Linked DNA regions of Rattus norvegicus. The protein of the gene in region 1 purifies or fractionates together with the protein of each later gene. This does not show direct contact. Links are inferred from orthologs where the notes say so. Each region holds a gene or a part of one and is shown in the gene's direction. Other genes may lie near its edges. The genes, in order: Lig3, Aptx and Tdp1.

Region 1 (7,134 bases):
GGGATTCCCTTCTTTCCTAGTTCTCAGAGTCAGTATACTGGGGGATGTATTGTGTGGTCTAGTAGAGACAAGGTGGCTGGGCACTTATGTGTTGAGCAAGAGAGCTGAGCAGTGGTCCTGTAATGAGATTCTTGTTCCAGGTATACTGGAAACTGATCAGGAACTGCTGTGATAAGGATGGTGTTAGACAATCCCTCTTGTGACCCAGGAACATTTGAACACAGCATTCCAGAATATGCTTTCTTTACTTTCCCAAATATTGTGGATTGAATCAGGGTTTAACAGACTAGGCAAGGGCTGTACACTAAATATGTCATCAGTCTGTGCCTTTCAGTTCTTGAAGGGCTCAGTTGGGAATAGAAGGGAGTAGGGATGGAAGGGAGTAAGGATGGTCAGCCAGGTCTTTCCTCATCCTATTCCATACCTTAGGAAGTGACTCAGCTGCTCTCAGCAGAGGAATTGTGAAGCCCTCCAGACCCCACTCCTGGTACCTTTTGTCAGGAAATACCTGGAATTATAATGGGACTTCTCCCACAGAGTATCAGAAATTAGAGCTCTGGCTCTGTTAGGAAAAATCCTGTCCTCATGCTTATACTCTGAAGACAGCAGGGGCTTCAGAGCTCCCACTTAGGGGAAGGCCTGTTCTCATTCCTTGCTCTTCCCAAGGCTTTATTTGTCTGCCCTGCAACCCATCTATTTCCACATCCCAGTCCTCAGCCTGATGACACCAATCCTCTGTAATGGACACTAGTCCCCACCTGCCCGTCTCTTTCCTTCCCACTCATATTTGTCTACCTCCAGGTCCTTCCTGACCAACTCACTGTTCTTCCTTTTCCTCCAAGCCTTCTGTATAACCCATAGAAAATGACTCAGTGGGCTGACCATTTTCTGGATCTAGACAGAGGCAATAAAGCAGATAGCCTGGTACTCTTTGGGAGACCGACACAACCTAGCTGTTCATTTCACTCATTGCTTGGGATGGCAAGGTTCTCTGTGCTGTTTGAGCCTTGATCACCGTGACTTAGTTTTAGGTCTTATTGCCAAGTCAGCCTTGCCAAAGTTGCCTTTCTGCTTCTAGGTGGCCCACTTTAAGGACTATATTCCCAAAGCGTTTCCTGGGGGTCAAAGCATGATCTTGGACTCTGAAGTGCTCCTGATTGATAACAACACAGGCAAACCACTGCCCTTTGGGACCCTGGGAGTACACAAGGTATACCCTAAGAGTCCTATGTGCAAAACTTGTGCTGTCAGTCTGACAAAGGGGAGATTTGAGAACCAATTTAGACTTGAGTTGGATTTTATTGGGCATGTGTTCTTTCATCACTGTAACAAAATACCAGAGGTAACCATTCTATAAAGGAGAGGGGTTTTGTATCTAGAGGTTGCAGTCAGAGAATACAGGGGCCATAGCTTTAGATCACTAAACATGTGGCAAGCAAAGTCATTTACATCATGAACTGAGAAGCATGGAGAGAAGGGGCCAGTCCCACAATCCCTTTTGGAGCTAATGACTTATGTCCCTCCCCTACTTCACCACCCTTAGGAACAAGTCTTCAACATTTGGGCCTTTGGTAAACACTTGGGATCTCAAGTTTAGTGAGCACCATTTACAGAGTGCTCTGTGGCCTGCAGAGCACTGACAGAACTGTTCACGAGGGGCTTTTCAAATGGCCTGCTGCTCCCTTACTTGTGCCCTCATGTGCCCCCTGCCTCATTTTCTCTGCAGAAAGCTGCTTTCCAGGATGCTAATGTCTGCCTGTTTGTTTTTGATTGTATCTACTTTAATGATGTCAGCTTGATGGACAGGTGAGTTAACTAGTATTTTGACCTGTTTTGGGGTTTTTTTTTGTTTTTTTTTTTTTTCATTTTTTTGCAGTACTGGGGATGAAATCCAGGGCCTTACATGTATTAAACATATAATCAACCATTGGATTTTACTCCTGGCTACCATGTTTCAACTGAGATCCTTATCTTCACTGAAAATTTATCTGAGTTGGGCCTGTAGAGGCTTCAGTTAGGAAAGTGACAGGGATAGGGCTAAGAGTTTTGCATTTTTATCTATGAGCTTCTCAGGGATGCCATGCGTGAAACATCTAGGGGGAACTGGCTGTCTAGAGTGAGCTACCTCCAAAAGCTTGGACCTACACAGCTGATACTTGTCCTTGTGCACTTGGATTCTCCCTAATCCTGTTTCTATAGTTACAACCATGGTTATAAAAGGCTTGATGGGGTAGGATCCCGAGGCCTGTGCCAGCCTGGGGGCTAGGGATAGCACAACAATGTTCAAGTAGTCTGGGCTGGAGACTGGTGTTCTCTTGGCTCAGTAGAGAAGAGAGCACTGCTATAATCTGGCTGTGGACTACTGCTTATAGTTGTTTATCTCTAGTGCTGATGGAGTCCTTGCCACCCTTGACAGCACAGTTCATATGGGCACTTGGATCCATAGCTGTCCCTTTCCTGAAGCAACAGTTTTGTCACTGGGCACTGTCTTGTGTCAGAGTCCCTGCTTGGAGTGGGAGGGAGGCTCTTTACCTCAACTTTGCTGTTTCCCTTAGGCCTCTCTGTGAGCGACGGAAGTTTCTTCATGATAACATGGTTGAAATCCGTAACCGGATCATGTTCTCAGAAATGAAGCAAGTCACAGTAAGTGAAGTTCCTATCCTAGGCAGGGATCTAAGTGGTTTGAAAACAGAGCAGAGGGTGGAGAGATGTCTCAGTGGTTAAGAGCACTGACTGCTCTTCTAGAGGTCCTGAGTTCAATTCCCAGCAACCACATGGTGGCTCACAACCATCTGTAATGGGATCCGATGGGACAGCAACGGTGTGTACTCACATACATAAAAAATAAATAAAATCTTAAAAAAAAAAAAAGAAAAAGAAAAAGAGAGCAGAGAGCCCCATGGGGTGTGAGAGGATGAGCCTTAGGTATTCTCTGGTGGGGTGCTGATAAGTTTGCTGTTGGCCATTGCCTATGTTGCCTATTTGTCTGCAGCCTGCCTCTCAAAGCCACAGCAGCTCCAAGTTATACACAGTAGTGTATAGACATGAGCAGTCTATTCTTACGTGATCCTGCACATTTCTCCTACCACCCTCAGAAAGCTTCAGACCTGGCTGACATGATAAACCGGGTGATCCGAGAGGGCCTGGAAGGTTTGGTGCTAAAGGATGTGAAGGTAAGGTAGTAGCTATACCCGTCTTCTGCTGGAGGTGACAGGCGGTGGTTGTGGGACACGGGGAGAGCTATGTAGGAGTCTTGCCCACTCAACTGGGGCTGGCTGGTCTTGGATCTGAAAATGGCTTTGTATGTCCTATAGTGCCTAACACTGAGATTGGCCCACAGTGGTGAAAGATGAACCCCCTCTATGGAGTTTGTATTATCTTGTGATGTATTTGTTGTGTCCCCTCAGGGTACATATGAGCCTGGAAAACGACACTGGCTGAAAGTTAAGAAAGACTATTTGAACGAGGGGGCCATGGCTGATACAGCTGATCTGGTGGTTCTTGGGGCCTTCTATGGGCAAGGGAGCAAAGGTTAGTGGTGCTTGGTCCCTGGGGTGGTACTCTATCAGAAGACACACACACTGGTCTTCTTACTAGCTTGATCTGCCAGTTATGGCTTCCTTGGTCCTGGGATCTAGTGCCCTGGTCACATCAGGCAGAGATGTCTGGGAGCTTCAGTCTTACACACAGGAGTAAGAAAAGCTGATGAGAGCTCAGTGGGTACAAAGCCCTGTCCCAAGCCTTCAGACCTAAATTGATCACTGGTATCCCCTTGGTAAAAGGAGAGAACTGACTCCCACGTGCACACTGTAGCATGTATAAAGACTGGATTATGACTGGCTGCACAAAAATACACATTCAGAAAGAAAATGAATAAGAAAAATGTTTTAATAAGGGAAAAATAGGGCTGGAGAGATGGCTCAGTGGTTAAGAACACTGACTGCTCTTCCAGAGGTCCTAAGTTCAAATCCCAGCAACCACATGGTGGCTCACAACCATCTGTAATGGGATCTGATGCCCTCTTCTGGTGTGTCTGAAGACAGTGACAGTGTATTTATATATAACAGATAAATCTTAAAAAAAAAAAGAAAGAAAAAAGAAAAATAATAAAAGAAAGTTGGTCAAGAATACCCTCTGTAGTTCTGACACAAAGAAACTCAACTACCAGCTGTTTTAAGGCCTAACAGCTTCCTTCTCAGAAAAAAAATCTGTTTCTTGACTGAGGAGAAAGATGAAGTCTGAGGAACACTTGGGCAGTATGTCAGGTTGTATCTGCTCTGTGTCAGGTACTGTCCAGTTCCCCAGAGCCCAGTAAGTTGAGTGTGATTACTCGAATACTCTTGATGGTAAGGCCTTAGCTCACTCATCTTCAAGCAGTCTATCATGGGCTGGCAGAGGTGGTTCCTTCTAGCCCACACTCAATTCATGTCTCCCCTCCCAGGTGGAATGATGTCCATCTTCCTCATGGGCTGCTATGACCCCGACAGCCAGAAGTGGTGCACTGTTACAAAATGTGCTGGAGGCCATGACGATGCCACACTTGCCCGCCTGCAGAAAGAGCTAGATATGGTGAAGATTAGCAAGGTGAGGAAGGTGCCTGGTTGACCCTGGCCCTGGACAAGTCATCCTTCCTGAAACAGGCTGTGCTTTGAGGACTGAGGTCTGCAAGTCTCGTTTCTGAATTCAGAAAGGAGCTTGCTTCTAGGCTATAGGAGCAGGATTAGGCTTTTAAATCTCAGAGAGCCTGTCTTATAGAAGATGGGCCAGAGCCTCCCTGAAGAAGGAAGATCACTTGGGGTGAGAGGTCATCCTTTTTAGCTAAGTCATTTCACAGTGTTACTGCCAAAGACAAGGTTTAAACCTTGTTCCAGCACGACAGGAGCCCAAAACAGCATCTTTTCTCCTTCAGGATCCTAGCAAGATACCCAGCTGGCTGAAGATCAACAAGATCTACTATCCTGACTTTATCGTCCCAGACCCAAAGGTATTATCGCCTGATGCTTTGTGGCCCCACCACAGAAGTTAGTCCAGCTTTGCTAAGGTCCACCCAGGATAGGACTTGCATATTCAGCAAATGATAGAAACAGGGCTAACCAACCAGCCTTGAGGACTTGTCTGTCCCTAGTGGAGGGGAAGCAAATCCTTTTCCATTTGTAAAAGAGGCCTGTTCTAGAGCTAGACCTAGCCCAGACCCTACTTAACAGACAGGTTTCAAGAGGAGGTATATAACTAGCCCACAGGCCTCCTGGCAGCCACTGAGAGCCTCTGTGCTTTCACCTGCTTGACACTGTTTTGTCTGCTGGAGACTTCCTTCTTGGCCAGTGATAATCTACCTGTTTTATTCCTGACAGAAAGCTGCTGTGTGGGAGATCACAGGAGCAGAATTCTCTCGATCTGAGGCGCATACTGCTGATGGGATCTCCATCCGATTTCCTCGATGCACCCGAATCCGGGATGACAAGGACTGGAAATCTGCCACTAACCTCCCCCAACTCAAGGTGCCAGCACTTTGGCTTTCTAAGTCATCAACCTACTGTCTTGCTCTTAGAGTGTTGGGCATCTGGCCTGTTCACATGTCGTTTGGCTTATTATCTCCATCCCACAGGGACAAAGCCAGGAGAGCAGTTAAAATACCTCTCCCCCCAGCTCCCCTTCCTCAGGTCCCCTAAGAGCCTAGCTTTCCATAGTTCGACTTTACTAAGAGCTGATGTTTAGAGGCTGGAGAGATTGCTCAGCGGTTAGAGCTCTGGCTGCTCTTCCAGAGGACCCCTGTTTGATTCCCAGCACTCACACTGCAGCTCACAACTGTAATTTCAGTCCCAGAGATCTAGTACCCTCTTCTGGCCTCTGTAGGCACCAGACATTTACACATTTACATGGTGCACAGACAGGCATACACTTTTTTTTTTTTAAGAACTGTGTTTAGGTAGAATGTACTATTGCACACCTTTAGGATTCCAGCACTCAGGAGGCAGAATCAAAAGTTTCTCTGAGTTCAAAGCCAGCCTAATCTACATAGTTAATTTCAGGCTAGACAGAGCTACAGAGACTCTGCTTCAAAACAACAAAAAACCTGGTTTATCTGAGCCTATATTCTGAGCACCAGAGAGGCTGAGACAGAGAGATCTTAAGTTTAAAGCCAGTCAAGAAGTACAAAACTTTTGCCACAGAAAGTAACTTGTACCCAAATTACTCAGATTCCAGGGCCCTACATTTTTCCTTAGGTACATGTGCCAGGCAGCACTCATACCAGACACAGGTCGGGTCAGGTCAGATGACAGCACCCAATTCCCCCACTTCTTAGGAACTGTACCAGCTGTCCAAAGACAAGGCAGACTTCGCTGTGGTGGCTGGAGATGAGGGGAGCTCCACTACTGGAGGCAGCAATGGTGAGAATGAGGGCACTGCTGGGTCTACTGTGCCCCGCAAGGGCCCCAAGGGACCCCCCAGTAAGTCCTCTGCCAGTGCCAAGAAGACTGAACAGAAGCTGAATGATCCCAGTAGCAGAGGTGGTAAGTAAAGGTGCCTGAGGTGATGGGGAGAGCGGTGGGTAGGCCGGAGATGGCAGAGCATAGACATACCGGTATCTTCAACTCTAGCGTCCTGTGACGGGGTGTCCACTACAGTAGTGTGTGCCTAGCATGTGACTAGCTAGGGACCAGAAACTGGTCTACCAGGCACCTCTTATCTACTCAACAAACCCGGATGACAGGGGACCAGGGACAGCCAGTCTGACTGGGGAATGAGCCACCTTGGAGCTAAAGGATCCAGCTGATGGCCTTGCTCCCCTTCCATTTCTCATTACAACAGAACTACTCGATCTCTGTACTCTCCCTGACTTACAGGCTGCTCCTCTTACCCTTTTCCTTCTTGTTCTTGGTTTTGTGGTTTTGAGACAGGGATTTTCTACACCAGGCTGGCCCTTAACTCATTCTGTAGTTCAGAATGGTCCTGAATTTGCTGGATTATAGGCATGTCCCAGTTTGTAGGGATTGGACCTAGGGCCTTATACATACCCGACCTTTGCTATCCTTGGCAACACACTGATTCCAAAGCTTTCCCCCATGAAACCAGGAGAGAAGCTGGCTGTGAAGTCTTCTCCTGTCAAAGTGGGGATGAAGAGGAAAGCTGCTG
Region 2 (7,729 bases), on another chromosome or scaffold:
AGGGCCACACTTAGGGCAGGGAAAAGCCCTCCAGGTCCTTGTTGGTGCTGTGGCTTGAACCTAGGGCTTCACATGTTCTCGGCAAATGCTCTACCGCTGAGCTATATATCACCAAGCTCCCCCACCCCAACTCCAACAACACGACACGAATACCAGGAAGTCGACCTTAAGATAGCCAAAAGGTTTGGACATTTCTCCAAAGAAGATGCACAACTGGAAAAAAATAATCACATAAAATGAGCACCATCCCTAGTCATCAGGGAATTGTAAATCAGAAACCGTTGTGGGTGGCTGCTTTCAACCACAAAACCAGCCACAGATAACAAAGTGTTGGCAAGCGCACAGAGAAACTGTGTCTGGGCACTGTTAGGGGAATGTAAAGCCATGCAGCTGACATGGAAAGCATTGTGACTGTTTTCAAAGTATTAAAAATAAAACGGCCCTGGCTGGGAGATGGCTCAGTTGGGAAAGTGCTTGTCCCAGAGGGCCCATCACCTAAGTTTAGGTCCCCAGCACCCGTGTAAAAGAGCCCAATGTACTAGCCGATGCCTACGACCCCAGTGCTGCGAGGCAGACAGGATGCTTCTGGAGCTTATGGGCTAATCTAACCTAACTGGTGAGCTCAACGTTCAACGAGAGACACCATTTTAAAAATTAAGATGGATGCCTGGCATGGTCACTGCCCTCTATTCACGGTAGAGGCAGGCAGATCTCTGTGAGTTTGAGGCTAGTCTGTTCTACTACAAAGAGTTCCAGGACAGCCGAGGCTACACAAAGAAATCCTGTATCAGAAATCAAACAAACAAACAAACAAACAACAAACAGTCCCAACCCAAAAAGAAACAAAACAAAACAAAAATTAAGGTGGGGAGTGAGGGCAACATTTAATATATATAGTCTTCTGGCCTACACACTTCACTTGCTCAGAACACACACACACACACACACACACACACACACTCACACACACTATGTGACACAACAATCCTGCTTTCCAAAGTATCTGAAAGCAGATCTTGATGTTTTGAATATCCATGCTCATAAACGTAGCATTATTCACAAAAGTCAAAAGACAGGAACAACCCAACAGTCCCAGCACTTGGGAAAACAAAAGCAAAATTGGGTTTAGTGGTGCTTGCCTTTAATCCCAGTACTCAAGAGGCAGAATTTATTTTGTGAGTTCAAGGCCAGTTTGGTCTACATAAAAAGTTTCTGGACAGCCAGAGGTATAGTGAGGCCCTGTCTCACAACAACAACAACAACAACAACAACAACAACAACAACATCAGCAACAAACTGAAGCAGGAGGATCAGAAATTTAAGGCCATCTTTTAAGGCCTTGACACTGTCTTTAAGAAATGGAGGAAAAAGGAAAATGAGAAAGAATAATATGTGTGTTGGGTTGGCTAGATGGGTCAGTAGGAACACTGGTTACTCCTTCAGAAGATCTGGGTTCTATTCCCAACTCACAGTCTCTTATAACTACAGTTCCAGGGAATCTGCCTTCTGCTGGCCTCCTCAGACACCAGGTACACACATGGTGTACAGACATACATGCATGCAAAACACCCATACACATTAAAAAAATCAATAAATTAAAAAAGAAAGAATATTTAAAATAAAACCCAAAGAAAAACATTAGCCTTAAAAAGGAACTTTTGACGTGTGCCACATTGTAGATGAAACTTGACACCAAGCTAAGTGAAATAAATTAATTACAAAAACCAATACTTCATGATTTCATTTAAATGTTATTTCCAGGCTGGTCAAACCCATGGAAGTTAAGAGAAGAATAGTGGAAGACAAAAATTAGTAGTTGTTTAATTCATAGAGAAGCTGAAACAGGGAGCTTAGTCCCCAAACAATGTGAACCCCAATGATTGTCTTAAGTGCCTACCCTTAACCATGGATTGTTCTAGACAACCTTGTTTTTCTGGTCAGTGCACTGCAGACAATGGATTAGACCTAATACAGTGCCTATGAAAACCCTGACCAATTTTGTACAAATGACCCGGTTTAATTTTTAGCTGTAAGAGACACAATGGAATCTGCGTAGAAGCCTTGGCTAAGATGTTTAATCCTGAGGGAAAATGTAAACTGTCAGGTCACCAGATCTGCCTCCGTATCTTAAGCAGTTGTGGACCGAGTTCTCAGCCTTGAGGCTTGCACAGCTTTTGATGCCTCCTCCCTTCCCGCTCTGATCCTAACATACACCCGCATCTTCTCTGCCAACAAAAGCACATCTTTCTCTTGTTCCCAGGAACATCCTCCCATCCTGTCTTGTCAGCTCTATTAGACTAGTGGAGCCCGCTTTTCCACGGAAGGAAACAATAGCAACCCATCTGACCAAGAAACAAAAGAGCTCCTAGCTGAGAATGGGGGTGAAAGCCTGTTATCCTAGTATTTCAGAGGTAGGGGAAAGGGGAATCTTGAGTTTGAGATTAGCCTAGGGTACAGTGAAACCTTGTTTTCTAAACAACCCCCCCCCCAAAAAAAAAAGACTCTGAAAGGTTCAGTTTCTACTGCGTTTCAGATTCTACACTCTGATGTACTCACGAGATAGGAATTCTTTCATCTGCCAAGAAGTCTTTGGTGATTTACAATACAAGACTTTTAGGGAACGTCCTGGAATTGCAATAAAAATCAGTACAAATATGTCATCCCAACCTCCTGCCTTGCTGATTGCCCTCAGTTAATTTAGTGAAGACATCATAAAAAAAAATCTTAGCAGGGTTCCTCTGTCTCTCTCTTTAGTCTTTTTCTCCTTAGAGAAGGAAAGTGTAATTTGAACGTGAGTGGTTGGTAAAGCACTCCAGCTTGTAGCTTAACCGATGGCTTCAAAGCTGTGTTTGGTAGCTCGCACCTGCAATCCTAGCACTGGGGAATCTAAGGCAAGAGGAGATTCTGGCGAGTTCAAGGCCAATTTGGGCTACAGAATGAATTTGTCTCACTACCTCCAACCTCGTTCCTTCCCTTTCAAAGATGGCTTTAACATATAGCAAGCTTCCTGAGGAGGAAGTGCTAAGAGACGACTTGGCTGCATAGAAAAGCCACAGGAGATTGCTGTCTGAAATCTCTCCGGATTCAGACCCTGGGAGGCTATGACAGCTAGATGCCTCAGAGAAGGCAAAGGAGTTATCTTCACGGGAAACAACTAGCTGCTACGACCACTTTTCGACCAGGGTATCCGGCAAGAGAACGTTTCGGCCAATTCTGGAAAAAACTCTGAAATCATCACCAGTTGCTAGGCAGCAGTTTGTGACATCATCTTTCAGCACCGGAAGCGGCGAGGCGCAGCGGAGTAGCGTGGAGGTTTGTAAGTGTGCAGTCGAGGTAAGCTAGTGGTCGGCCTGCTTTCGTAGCTGGTTGGGTTAGAAGCCAGCAGGGGCGTTTGGCCGGGGCTGCTAACCCGGAGCGGATACCTTGAAGGTGGAGTTCGAGGTTTCCTTCTGGGTGGACCAAGCCCCACCCTTTCGTCCTGTTCAGGTGGGCGTGTTTCAGAGTTTTGGTTTCCGCCTCATTGTTCCGACCTCTCTGACTCCCCGCCCCCCATCCCCATCCGACTCTTGTACCTAGTTGGCTGCAAGATCTGCTTGAAAAGATTTATAGATAAACAGTGGACACTGTCCGTGCCAACGGGGCTGTTCTGTTTCTGCCAGAAACGCCTTCCAAGAGTAACTTGAGGCGCCCTAGCAGTGTCCTCAGCGGGCCTTAATAATGCCGGAAGCAGTAAGGCCTTTTTCATATAGTGCAGAGACTGATTCAACAAAGCTGGGGCTTTTGAAATTACATCTATTTGGAATTGATGGAGAATACTTTGGAGGAGTCGATATGTATTGGGGATTTCGTAAGAGTCCCAGCATCCCCACTAGCCCAGCTGGCCTCAAATTCCTGATCCCCTTGTCCCTACCTCCCAGTGATGGGATACAGGCCTTGTACATTTTTTTTTTTTTCAAGATGGTTTACAGTATGTAGAGTAGTATGACCTCAAACTTCTGGATATCCTGCCTGTGCCTCCTTAATACTGAGACTGCAGACCTCTGTCATAGAAATCTTTTTACAGAATTGTTTATGTGGGAAAGAAATGCATATTTGGTTTTTATACTTTTTTTTTCCAAGATGATCTTTGTAAGGAAATCTTTGTCCAATTCCTGCTTGGTTGTTAGTGACTTGTTTGCTGATATGTCGTCCCCACACCTCCTATTCTTTAAGCAAGCATTCACTGACTGCTGAATTTCAAAATCTATTGAAACGTACAATTTTTCAGCTGTCAGCCAGTCACATGGGGCTTTATCTGGAGCTTGTTGGGGTCTCTGGTCCCTTCTGCCTTCAGTTTTAGGTTCCACTATCACTTAATGCTTCTCCATGCACTGTGCCATGTCTTCCTGTGTTTGCCTTTGTTGTTCTCTTTGCCTAGAAATTGTCTTCCTAATCCCAGTTTCTGGTTCTTGTTGCTCAGATAGGCTGCCTACTCCTACCAAATTAATCAAGTTTATAAGCCCATCCCATCTCCAGAAAACTTTCCTTCACAGGGTACTAAGGGTTTGTATTTCTATAATACTCTTTCTACAGGCAAATCATACCCCACTGATTATAATTATTTCTGGGTCTTCTGTGAGATTGGAGGCTTTTGAAAGGAGGACATATGCATTAGCTCTTGACTCCCAGTGCTAGAATAGCATGAAGCACATAGTAGGCATGAAAAAATCTTGATTGAGATTGAGTGAGTGAGCCCCCAAACAGTATCGTGTAGTAGTTAAGAACCCATTCTTTGGGGGTTGGGGATTTAGCTCAGTGGTAGAGCGCTTGCCTAGCAAGCGCAAGGCCCTGGGTTTGGTCCCCAGCTCCGGAAAAAAAAAAGAAAAGAAAAAAAAAAGAAAAAAAAAAGAAAAAAAAAAGAACCCATTCTTTGGAAAGAGTTGAAATTCTAACTCTGGCACAGAGTCTTGGTTGCTTGACACGGTACTTACTTGTCTGTGCCTTAATTTTCCATAGTGAAGGTGAGACCTTGTAAATGAGACATTTAGCATAGTACCCACTGTGTAGAATGTCTTAATTTTTTTTTTTTTACATTTTTATTTTGTGTATGAGTGTTTTGCCTGCCTGCATGTACCATGTGCATGCAGTGGTCATGGGGGGCAAGAAGAGGGTGTTGGATCCTCTTGGAACTGGAGCTATAGACAGTTGTGAGCTGCCGTGTGGGTGCTGGGAATTGAACCTGGCTCCTCTGGAAGGCAGTCAGTGCTCTTAACCACTCAGCCATCTCCCCAGCCCTCCCCCCCTCTCGCCCCCCATGTAGTATGTTCTTAATAGGTTATGCTGAACACCTGGGATCCTGGGATACAAGAGCAGGCCAGCAGCAGTCTTCCAAGACTTTTCTTCCATGTTTCTCGAATGGGGATACAGAGGGGAGTTCGTTCCTAAGGCTGTGAGAAGATGACAACTCCATTGGCCTCCAAGGAGATGGGACCTGAAATCTAAGATTTGGGTCTCTAGGAAGGAGAGAAGGATAAGTCAACATCAGAATACCATGCTTAGAATGATGATGTCTGTGTGTGTAAAGGTGCCCGCGTGTATGTCTGGGGAGGGAAGAGTGAGAAGGATGGCCACTGGGGCCAGTTCTGTGAAATAAGTAACCTCTGAGGAATTAGAGGCTGACAGTCTTAAATTCAAGTCTCCACAGTCACTTGTGCTTAAATTAATTGGAAATTCAGCTCCATACTTGTGCTAGTGGCCCTTCAGAAGCTCAGTGCTAACAGTGCTTCAAGATAGATTTCAGGCCGCACGCCACTTGCCAAGATCATTTGGGTTCCCTAATGCGATGGTTTGTCTGTGCTTGGCCCAGGGAGTGGCACTAGTAGGAGGTGTGGCCTTGTTGGAGTAGGTGTGTCACTGTGGGGTGGGCTTTAAGACCCTTGTCCTAGCTGCCTGGAAGCCAGTCTTCTCCTAGCTGCCTTCAGAACAAGAGGTGAAATGCTCTATGTCTTCCTGGATGCTGCCGTGTTCCCATCTTGATAATAATGGGCTGACCTCTGAACCTGTAAGCCAGTCCTAATTAAATGTTGTCCTTATAAGAGTTGGTTTGGTCATGGGGTCTCCATAGCAATGGAAACCCTAACTAAGATTCCTAGGGCGGTGGTGGTGGTACATGACTTTAATCCCAGCAGGAGGCAGAGGCAGATGAATCTCTGAGTTCGAGAACAGCCTTACCTACAGAGCTAGTTCCAGGACAGCTAAGGCTACACAGAGAAACCCTGTCTGGAAAAAGAAAAACAAACAAACAAGCAAACCATAATTAATCGGGGAGTAATGACCAGTGGTGTAGTCAGCAAATGGGTCATTGCAGAAGGGAGAGGGAATGGTACAATGAACTCCTGTTTTGGGGCATTCTACTTTAAGATGAGGAACCCACCTGGGTGTGTTTGTGCACCCCTTTCATCTCACGCACTCGGGAGGCAGAGACAGGTGGATCTCTGTGAGTTTAAAACCATCCTGGTCTTTATAACAAGTTCTAGGCCTGCCCGAGGTACATGGTGAGATCCTGTCTCAAGGAAGTAAAGAGAAGGTGGAAAACCTTGAGAACTTTGGTAGAGTTATCATCTGATCAGTTATCTGCCAACATTGATTGACAGCTTGCTGATTTTTGTAGGCTCGTTATATGGTAAGGGGTAAATGCTGGAAATTACAGTGCTAAGGTAGGCATGATATCTGCTGTCATGATGCTTGCGTATAGTTTATGGAATTTTACTGGAGGGTCTGGGTAAGGTTCAGGAACAACCAGCCTTCTGTGTTCTTTTATTCTACAGTTATTAATTCCTACAAATTGGGTCTGGAGGCTCAAATGGGCCAACCTGCTGTTTAAGGTTTGTCGTGAGCATTGTGCAGTAACCGCATCGGCTTTCCAGGGAGCAGCGCATCTGAACATCACAACTTGACAACTTCAGGGAATGTGTCTGTATTTGTGGCAGAAGGGAGTGCTGTTTCCATTGTCTCGCCATGTTCCTCGCTGTTCATCGAATCCTCTCCTCCTACTCAGAAGCTGCACTGTCCACTGGCTTCTTTGTCAGTCAGAAGACTTGTTTCTCAGTACCCAGTGAGGACGCCTCACTTTCCTGTCTTACCTGCCTATCCATCAGTTTGTAGCAGGTCCAATGGATGCCCCATGGAACATAGCATTCTAAATGGGATCTGCCTGGGATCACCACTGGGCCTGGGTTTAGGATCTTAGATGAACAGCTTATCTTCATATCAGCTCCTGTCGGAGACCTGTTGAATTGTCTTTTGGACTTTCTGGTCTCTTTTAATAGCAGCTTCTGGATTAGTCTCTGATCCCAGCTTCCTGAACTCCTCTGCCTACACATAACTGTTGGCTAGGTATTCCTGGGCTTCTGCTGTTTTATCGCACTCTGACATGTAAATCTTGGCTGTTGAAGCTTAGCCTCTCGTCCTGGTGTTCTTTCCTTAAGTTTGCCCTTTATTTGAGTGACTCTTGAGGCAGCGTATCTGGGGCAGCCAAGTCAGCCTTCTCCTGACTCATGCTCACCTTGAGGAAGTCTGCACCGCCACTTGCGCCCTTTAACCTGAGATGCCTGTTTCAGTGCTTCCTGCTCAGTCCCTTTGCCTTCTGACCTTCTCTGACCTGGTAGTTTTGGAGGCCTTTTCTGACTGACAGAGAACTTTGAACTGAAGCAGTAAATTGTTAATCTGCTCTGAACTCCCTGTCTGCACT
Region 3 (7,134 bases), on another chromosome or scaffold:
GGCATGCATGTTGTGTACGTATAGGCACACATGTGCCACCATGCACTAGATCAGATGACAACCTAGAGTGCTAGTCCTCAGCTTCACCCTTGTTCAATGCTGCTGTGTACACCAGGCTGGCTGACACACAAACACGTGTACACCAGGCTGGCTGACACACAAACATGTGTACACCAGGCTGGCTGATACACAAGCACATGTACACCAGCCTAGCTGACACACAAACACGTGTACACTAGTCTAGCTGACACACAAACACATGTACACTAGTCTAGCTGACACACAAGCATGTGTACACCAGGCTGGCTGACACAGGCACGTGTACACCAGGCTAGCCGGCACACAAGCATCTGGAGAGTGTCCTGTCCCCACCTCCCGTCCTGCCATAGGAGCACTAGGACTATGGTTGTAAGTCACCTTGCCTGGTGTTACCTGGATTCTGAAGATCCAGAGGGAGGTCCTCACACTTGGACAAGTTCAGTAACCGTTATGTCCTCTCCCCAGCCCCACTGAGCCATTTCACCAGCTGAAGGGTTTGTTTTTTAAGAAGAATTTTTAGGGATGTGTCCAACTCAAATTCAGCTACCTCTCTCCTCCTTGGTTAAGAGCTTTACTTGTTTTTCTTTCATTGAAGCCATTTCTGTATATCCCTGCCTTCCTGGGAGAGCACTGGCTAAGGCCTTCTCCCTCGTAGAACATGCAGGCATTGCATAGCTCCATTGCAGGTTCCCAGTGTGCTTTGCTGCTGCTCTCCCTGCTCTCATCTCCAGTGTCGCCTACACAGGCTCACTCTGACAAGCTCCTGAGCCTCACCACCCCACGGGTGAGCTGAAGTGAGGGACCTTCCAGCTCGTCCTCTGGGCCTGCTTTGACTTAGTGTGGGTTCAAAGTTTCCCGTTCCTCCCTCTTAAGCCATGCTTCTCAGGATAGTGCCAGTCCGACTCCTGCAGCATCAAAGGGGTCTCTGCCCTGTCTCTTAGAAGCCTTGGCCACAGGACTTGCGCCACCACATCCCCTCAGCTACCCTCCTCCACCCACAACACACACACACACACACACACACACACACACACACACACACCCCTCTGTTTCTTAATTTTAGATAGAATCTTTTGTGTATCTCATGCTGGCTGGGAATTCACTATGTGGCTGTTTAGCCCAAGCTGGTCTTGCTTTACCTTCCAAGTGCTGACTAACAGGATTTTCTTTCTTTCTTTTTTTTTTTTTTTTTTTTTTTTTTTTTTTTTTTTTTTTTTTGGTTCTTTTTTTTTGGAGCCGGGGACCGAACCCAGGGCCCTGCACTTCCTAGGCAAGCGCTCTACCACTGAGCTAAATCCCCAACCCCCAGGACTTTCTTGATCTGCTGAGTCTTTTGTCCATTCTGCCCAGTGCCCAGGGAGATCGCAAGCCCAGACCTCTCTGAGCTGCCGACTGAGCCTGGGGAATCAATCCTACTTAGCCTTGTCTGAAAAGGGTGTGGAATTTAGTTAAGTGTGTTCATGGGGAAACAGGGATTATGAAACCAGATTTATAAAGGTGACCCCCCAGTCGCAGGTGCCTCTCAGAACCTCGCTAGTGCCTACAGCTCGTTCTGGACTTGTGAACTTGAACTTACGGGCAACAGCGCTTCCTGCGGCTTCTCAACTGATGCCATGAGGGAGGGTAGGAGAAGTGGGGGTGTGGCTGGCACTTTATTCCTTTCTTTAAAAAAGAATCTAAAAGCATATTTCCTAGATTGTATAGTTCAAACTCAAAGTAGATAGGAAATTTCCCTCCATCTTGCCTCTGCCGGGCACCTTCATACAAAGCCTGTTGCCCTCTGCTTGTCTGCTCTTGATTCTGATACTTTGCAGTTTCACACTGAGGTTAAAGAAACAGCAGAAAAACCCTGAAACCCTAAAGATGGCTGAATAGTAGAGAGCGCCTGCTACTCACTCTTCTTGCAGAAGACCTAGGTCTGGTTCCCAGCTCCCGTAGATGTCTCACACCATCTGAATTCTCTTGCCAGTTCCAGGGGATCCAACATCCTCCCTGGCCTTTGTAGGTACCTGCACACACGGTGCACATACACACATGCAAATGCTCAGAGACATGAAATTTTTAAAAATCTTTAAAAGAAAAAAACCTTTACAGACACTCATTGCAGTCCCCCTTGGTGGTTTGCCTTAGCCGTGCTTGCCCCTCCGGTGTCGGTGTTCAGCTGTCCATCTCAGCTGTGACTTGAACCCTTGTCACAGCTGCTGGGGTCGAGAGTTGCAGCAGCAGTTAAGAGCACTTGCTGCTCTTGCAGAAGTGCCAGATTGGCATATCCTAGCAGCCACCTCAGGCAGTTCACGACTGTCTGAAAGTCCAGGTCCACGGGATCGGATGTCCTCCGCTGTCCTCTGGGCACCCGTATGCATGTGGTACACATACCTATATTCAGGTGCACACACACTTCAAACTAATAAATGTACGTTCCACATTATTCATCCCACCGTAGTGTTCTCATATCTCTTCACAAAGTATTAAAACGTGCCTCCTATCTTAGTAGTCTAGTTAGGAAGTTATTTCCCATCATGGTTTTTATCCAAAACATACCCGTAGTGAGCCATTTGCTCTTTGGCTCTGAGGGATCGATGGGAGGATACCTCACACATCTAGCCTAGCTGGTCACTTTCCTGGCAAAGAAAGTTCCAGAAAAGTCTGACTTCAATGGCAAAACCAGCTAGACACAGATGTGGTCCAGATGTGGGCTCCCACCTTAGGCAGACCTGTCTGTCCTATACTAAGTTCCTCCTGAGATAAGCAGGGGTGAATGAAATGTCACTCTGTGGGGAAGGCATAGGCTTCAGATGTACAGCCAAGCGTTCACATTCAGCCACCTAGCATCCTAGTAGCCCAAAGCTCATCAGCATCCACGGAGAGCAGCTGTGTGAAAGAAGAATCAGGCCATTTCTGTTTGGTGTTGGTGGGAAGAACTACTGGGGAATTAGCTATGGAAGTGAAAGACAGTGACAGCAAATACAGTCTGGGGCCTGACACAACCAACCATTGCCTCTTACAGGTCCTGGCGACAGCCCTTTGAGGCTGAACTCTTAATCTGGTTTCGCCCTAGAAGAACCTTTAGTCCTAGAGGCTCAAAAACCACAGTGTTTTTGTAATCTATCTGTGTCATACTGTATTGTATCTTTTGGGTTTAAACATGGTTATTTCCAATTTGTGGGTATGTTGTCGAAGTTAGGGCAAATGCATTGTTTCTTTGGGGAAAGGAATTGATCAGAAGGAAGATGTAACGTTTCATCACTGTTACAGCTTAACCTTTTGAGGCTGATGTTAAATGTGTTACATGTTCCAGGCATCAGAAAGTACAGGGTATGGAAATATCTTAAACCACTACAGAGTGTTCACTATAAAAAAAGTTTTCTTACTTAAAATAAACTTGCATATATATTTTTCTTGGTATAGATAGCTTTTGATTCTTAATTTGGCTGAAGCACTACACTGATAAGGACATGGTTTTACATAAAGAGACAGCATTCAGAAATAATTCTATGATGGGGGTATTGGATCACTGTGATCAGATCTGGTTCCTCCCGCCAGAAACCACTCCGTCACCACTTAAAGACAGTGACAAGAATTTACCTCTTGCTTTGGGTGAATGCATAATCAGTACAGGGGTGGTGTTGCAATCAGAGCTCCTGAGTGTTAACTTTTTTCCCATTCCAGAATATGGTTGAGCCCTTTGTACCCACGAATTTACCAGGGAAACCACACATCCGGAGAGTCAAGCACCCATTTCAAAGCGGACCTCACCAGTTATTTGATGGCGTATAATGCCCCCCCTCTCCAGGAATGGATAGACATCATCCAAGAACACGATCTCTCTGAAACCAAGTATGTGTCTCCTTCCAGTACGGGATCGAAAAGGGACTCCTGGCTTGCAAGCTACACAAGCCTGGAAGACAGAGAGAGGCCTTGGGAAGGAAGGGGTGGGGTGATATTTGTGCTGCAAGAGAGGGTGAGGGGGTGAGAGCAAATCTGTTCACACTGTGTCTCATGGTTCCTGGGCATCAAGGTGGTAGTGGGCCTTACGCTCCCACTGGGGAGATTGTCGAGTCACTGGATTCTTCACCGGGAACCTTACTGCTAGTGTCCCGCTCTTAACTGGTTTAGCTAAAAATAAACTTCAGAGTAACAGTCACTGTGCAGGAGGCCTGCCCCAACAGTGACTTGGCTTCTTGACCTCTTCTGTTATGTTAGTTTTTATGTGAATTGTGGGTTTGGGGTGTCAAAGCACAACTTGCATATTATTTACTGTATCTTACTTTATTTAGTGTTTACCTTATTGGTTCAACCCCTGGACGCTTTCAAGGAAGTCACAAAGATAATTGGGGACATTTTAGACTTAGAAAGGTAATAAAACTTTTAGTATTTTAACATTTAAAATAATTTAATGTGTATTCTTTCTCCCTTTTAATTTATGATGGATCCCCACCCCAGATTCAAATCTCAACCTGTGATATACAAGCCTTGTGGTCTTGACTTGTTCTTCAGCCTCCCTCTTGTCATCTGTAAAATGGACAGAATTGCATCTGGTAGTGATGTAAAATAGAGTGTTCTGGAAGCAGGGGAACGTGTGGACTAATGGTGTCCAGCCTAGATAATAGAATGCATTTGCGTAACCACAAATCCTGCACGTTCAGCAGGATCTGCAGTTTTCAAGCCACGTAACACAGGGCTTTTGTCAGATCTCAGCATTTCTCAGGAGCTGAGCCCACAGTAGAGACTGGGTCTGAGAGCTGTCAGTTTACTTCTGTTTCCTACAGCACGATGCAGCTGGTGGAAATTGTGAAATTTGTGCATGTGTGCCTGTGTGTAAATATTAAGGCCTAAGCTGTGGGAAAGAAGGCAATGCCTACCAAAGTGGAAATAGCCTCAGTGAGACTGAGTTCCACTGGGGCAGGGGCTGCCGCATTCCTCTCGCTGTGCATGCCTAAGTGAGTAAAATACTTTCCAAATACTACTGTTATTTCTCAGTTTGCCTAAGTGTCGAGGCAGGAAATGGGGATCAACCTTCTGCAGTGCTTTAGGGGCTCATTTCCATATGTAAATATCCCGTCCATATTAGGCAGGCACTCTGGAGGCCAGGGATTTTGTCTTTACTCCCCCTGCTTCCTTGAGCCCTTGCACATGCTAGGCTCCTGCCTTCCGCTGTGAGGGCACGCCCCAGCCCTGGAGTGCATGCCATGCTGAGGGATATGCTTCTCTCAGAAGGAACGAGCCAGAACCACAGTGGTTTCGTCGTGCTGGTTTACTTTATGGATATTAGATGATTATGATTTCAGGGTGGGTTCATCTTGATATTTCTGCCAAGATAGGTCTTTTAAAGTGATTTATTCTGCTTTTGTATGTAATGCAAATCAATTACTTTTAGAAAGAGACTTTTCCTGTCCACATAGTGGGTTTAAAAAAAACAAACAAACAAACATATTTTTAGTATTTAAAAAACCGTTTTCAAAGAAGAAAGACCATTTCTGCAGACATGATGTGGATGGCTAGTACTTCCAGGGTTTCCTCGTAAGCTCGGCGCCCGAGGGCGCAGCCCGTGTTGTAGGCGTTTCAGTTATCCCTGTCCACACTCTGACTGCTGTCCTTGCCTTTCTTCCGGAGCAGCTTCTGCAGGCGCATGCGCCATCTGCACCCAGGGGCGAGTGCTGGCCCGTCGTGGGTCAGTTTTCAAGCATTGGCTCCCTGGGGCCTGATGAATCCAAGTGGTTGTGCTCAGAGTTTAAAGAGAGCTTGCTGGCAGTGAGAGAGGAAGGCCGGACCCCGGGCAGAAGCGCAGTTCCTCTTCATCTGGTGAGCCCTCTTGCTCCAAGACAGTCTTCCCTGTCATAGACCATAGCGGGTGACGGTGCGGGGGATGGCCCCTCAAACAGCCACAGACTTGCTTTTCCATTCTTTCTTCCCAGTCGTTAAGCTAAGGTAAGAACCACTAGGTCCACCACTGCAGCTGACGAAGCTCTGTCAATTATGTCGAGATGATTGATTTTACATTTAATTTGATATTAATGCGGCAAGTCAGAGGAAAAACACTTAAAGTGTAATTTCTCATCAGTTATTTATATTCTCCCAGGAGCTTAGTTACCAGTTTAGTTGTTTTTTTTTTTTTCAGTAAGATGGGGATTTTCTTTTAAGATATGATTCCTAAGTATTTTGGTTTAACATCTTTCATTAAAATTTCCATTTTCTTAAAAGCTAGTCAACATTTCTTTCTTTCAACATGATTCACACCAAGTTTTCTTGTTTTTGTCTTTTCTTGCTTATTTTTAGATCTATCCCTCTGTGGAAAATGTGCGGACCAGCTTAGAAGGATATCCTGGTAACTGCTTGGGGACTTAGTTGTGGTTCTCTGTATATTCCCAACATGCCTTGGGGCGTGTTTTGTTTTGTTTTGTTGTTGTTTTGTGTTGTGTTCACCCGAATGGTTAGAAATGTAGAGTGGTTTTCTATTATTCAGGTGAAGCTAATGAAACCAGTATTGTTGGACTCCGCAGGGTTCCAGACATGACAGTTCACAGTTTCTCCCTCATAGCAACCGTATGCAGTCTTTGCCTAAGTTTCACTCCTAAAGTGTCTCGCTTGCCTGTTGTCGAGACAAGATATCCAACTACAGCGAGCTCCTCTGGCCCCAGTGCTGCGTCGGCTGCTTGGTAACCTCCTTTGCCTGTGTCTGAGGCCCTACATAGTCCTTCCAAATTTACCTCCTAACACGGGCACACCTCAGGCCTAGCGCTGGTGATTACGATGACCTTCGTGTAGCTCAGTTGCTATGTCAGCCTTCAGGCTTATTTTCTAAAAATCTCTCAACTTTATTCTTCATGTCTCTTCCTACTGCTGAACACGGAACTTTAAACAGAGGCACCCTCCGTAATACCATCAGGTTATTAACAAAGCCCCAGAGAGTGTCCCTCTGGAAGAAACCAAGTCTGATTGGCATTCACTGCCAGCCGGCAGCAGAGTACACTAAATTATGACTAATTTCTCCATTTATTGCTTATGAAATTAGATGTGACCTTGCCAAAAGAGTCTCAATGAAGTTCAGAGTATATTTGCTGTTCGGTGCCTTTTAATGGCAAAATCAAATCATTT

The links.
Region 2: the proteins of Lig3 (region 1) and Aptx purify together in Homo sapiens (affinity purification with mass spectrometry; 3 studies listed by BioGRID and IntAct, with this or other methods). This does not show direct contact. The link is inferred for Rattus norvegicus from reciprocal best matches to the Homo sapiens genes LIG3 and APTX.
Region 3: the proteins of Lig3 (region 1) and Tdp1 purify together in Homo sapiens (affinity purification with mass spectrometry; 4 studies listed by BioGRID and IntAct, with this or other methods). This does not show direct contact. The link is inferred for Rattus norvegicus from reciprocal best matches to the Homo sapiens genes LIG3 and TDP1.

What each region holds. Positions count from the first base shown.
Region 1 is NC_086028.1:68,227,678-68,234,811, forward strand, and holds part of Lig3 (DNA ligase 3), read left to right. Parts: intron 1-1,078; coding exon 1,079-1,210; intron 1,211-1,726; coding exon 1,727-1,806; intron 1,807-2,555; coding exon 2,556-2,643; intron 2,644-2,992; coding exon of another isoform or gene 2,993-3,067; exon of another isoform or gene 3,068-3,095; coding exon 3,096-3,173; intron 3,174-3,407; coding exon 3,408-3,531; intron 3,532-4,441; coding exon 4,442-4,584; intron 4,585-4,909; coding exon 4,910-4,984; intron 4,985-5,351; coding exon 5,352-5,498; intron 5,499-6,304; coding exon 6,305-6,512; intron 6,513-7,074; coding exon 7,075-7,134. UniProt on the Homo sapiens protein: Isoform 3 functions as a heterodimer with DNA-repair protein XRCC1 in the nucleus and can correct defective DNA strand-break repair and sister chromatid exchange following treatment with ionizing radiation and alkylating agents.
Region 2 is NC_086023.1:60,614,410-60,622,138, reverse strand, and holds the start of Aptx (aprataxin), read left to right. Parts: upstream 1-3,348; 5' UTR 3,349-3,486; intron 3,487-7,729. UniProt on the Homo sapiens protein: DNA-binding protein involved in single-strand DNA break repair, double-strand DNA break repair and base excision repair.
Region 3 is NC_086024.1:124,915,287-124,922,420, forward strand, and holds part of Tdp1 (tyrosyl-DNA phosphodiesterase 1), read left to right. Parts: intron 1-3,708; coding exon 3,709-3,876; intron 3,877-4,316; coding exon 4,317-4,395; intron 4,396-5,655; coding exon 5,656-5,841; intron 5,842-6,315; coding exon 6,316-6,364; intron 6,365-7,134. UniProt on the Homo sapiens protein: DNA repair enzyme that can remove a variety of covalent adducts from DNA through hydrolysis of a 3'-phosphodiester bond, giving rise to DNA with a free 3' phosphate.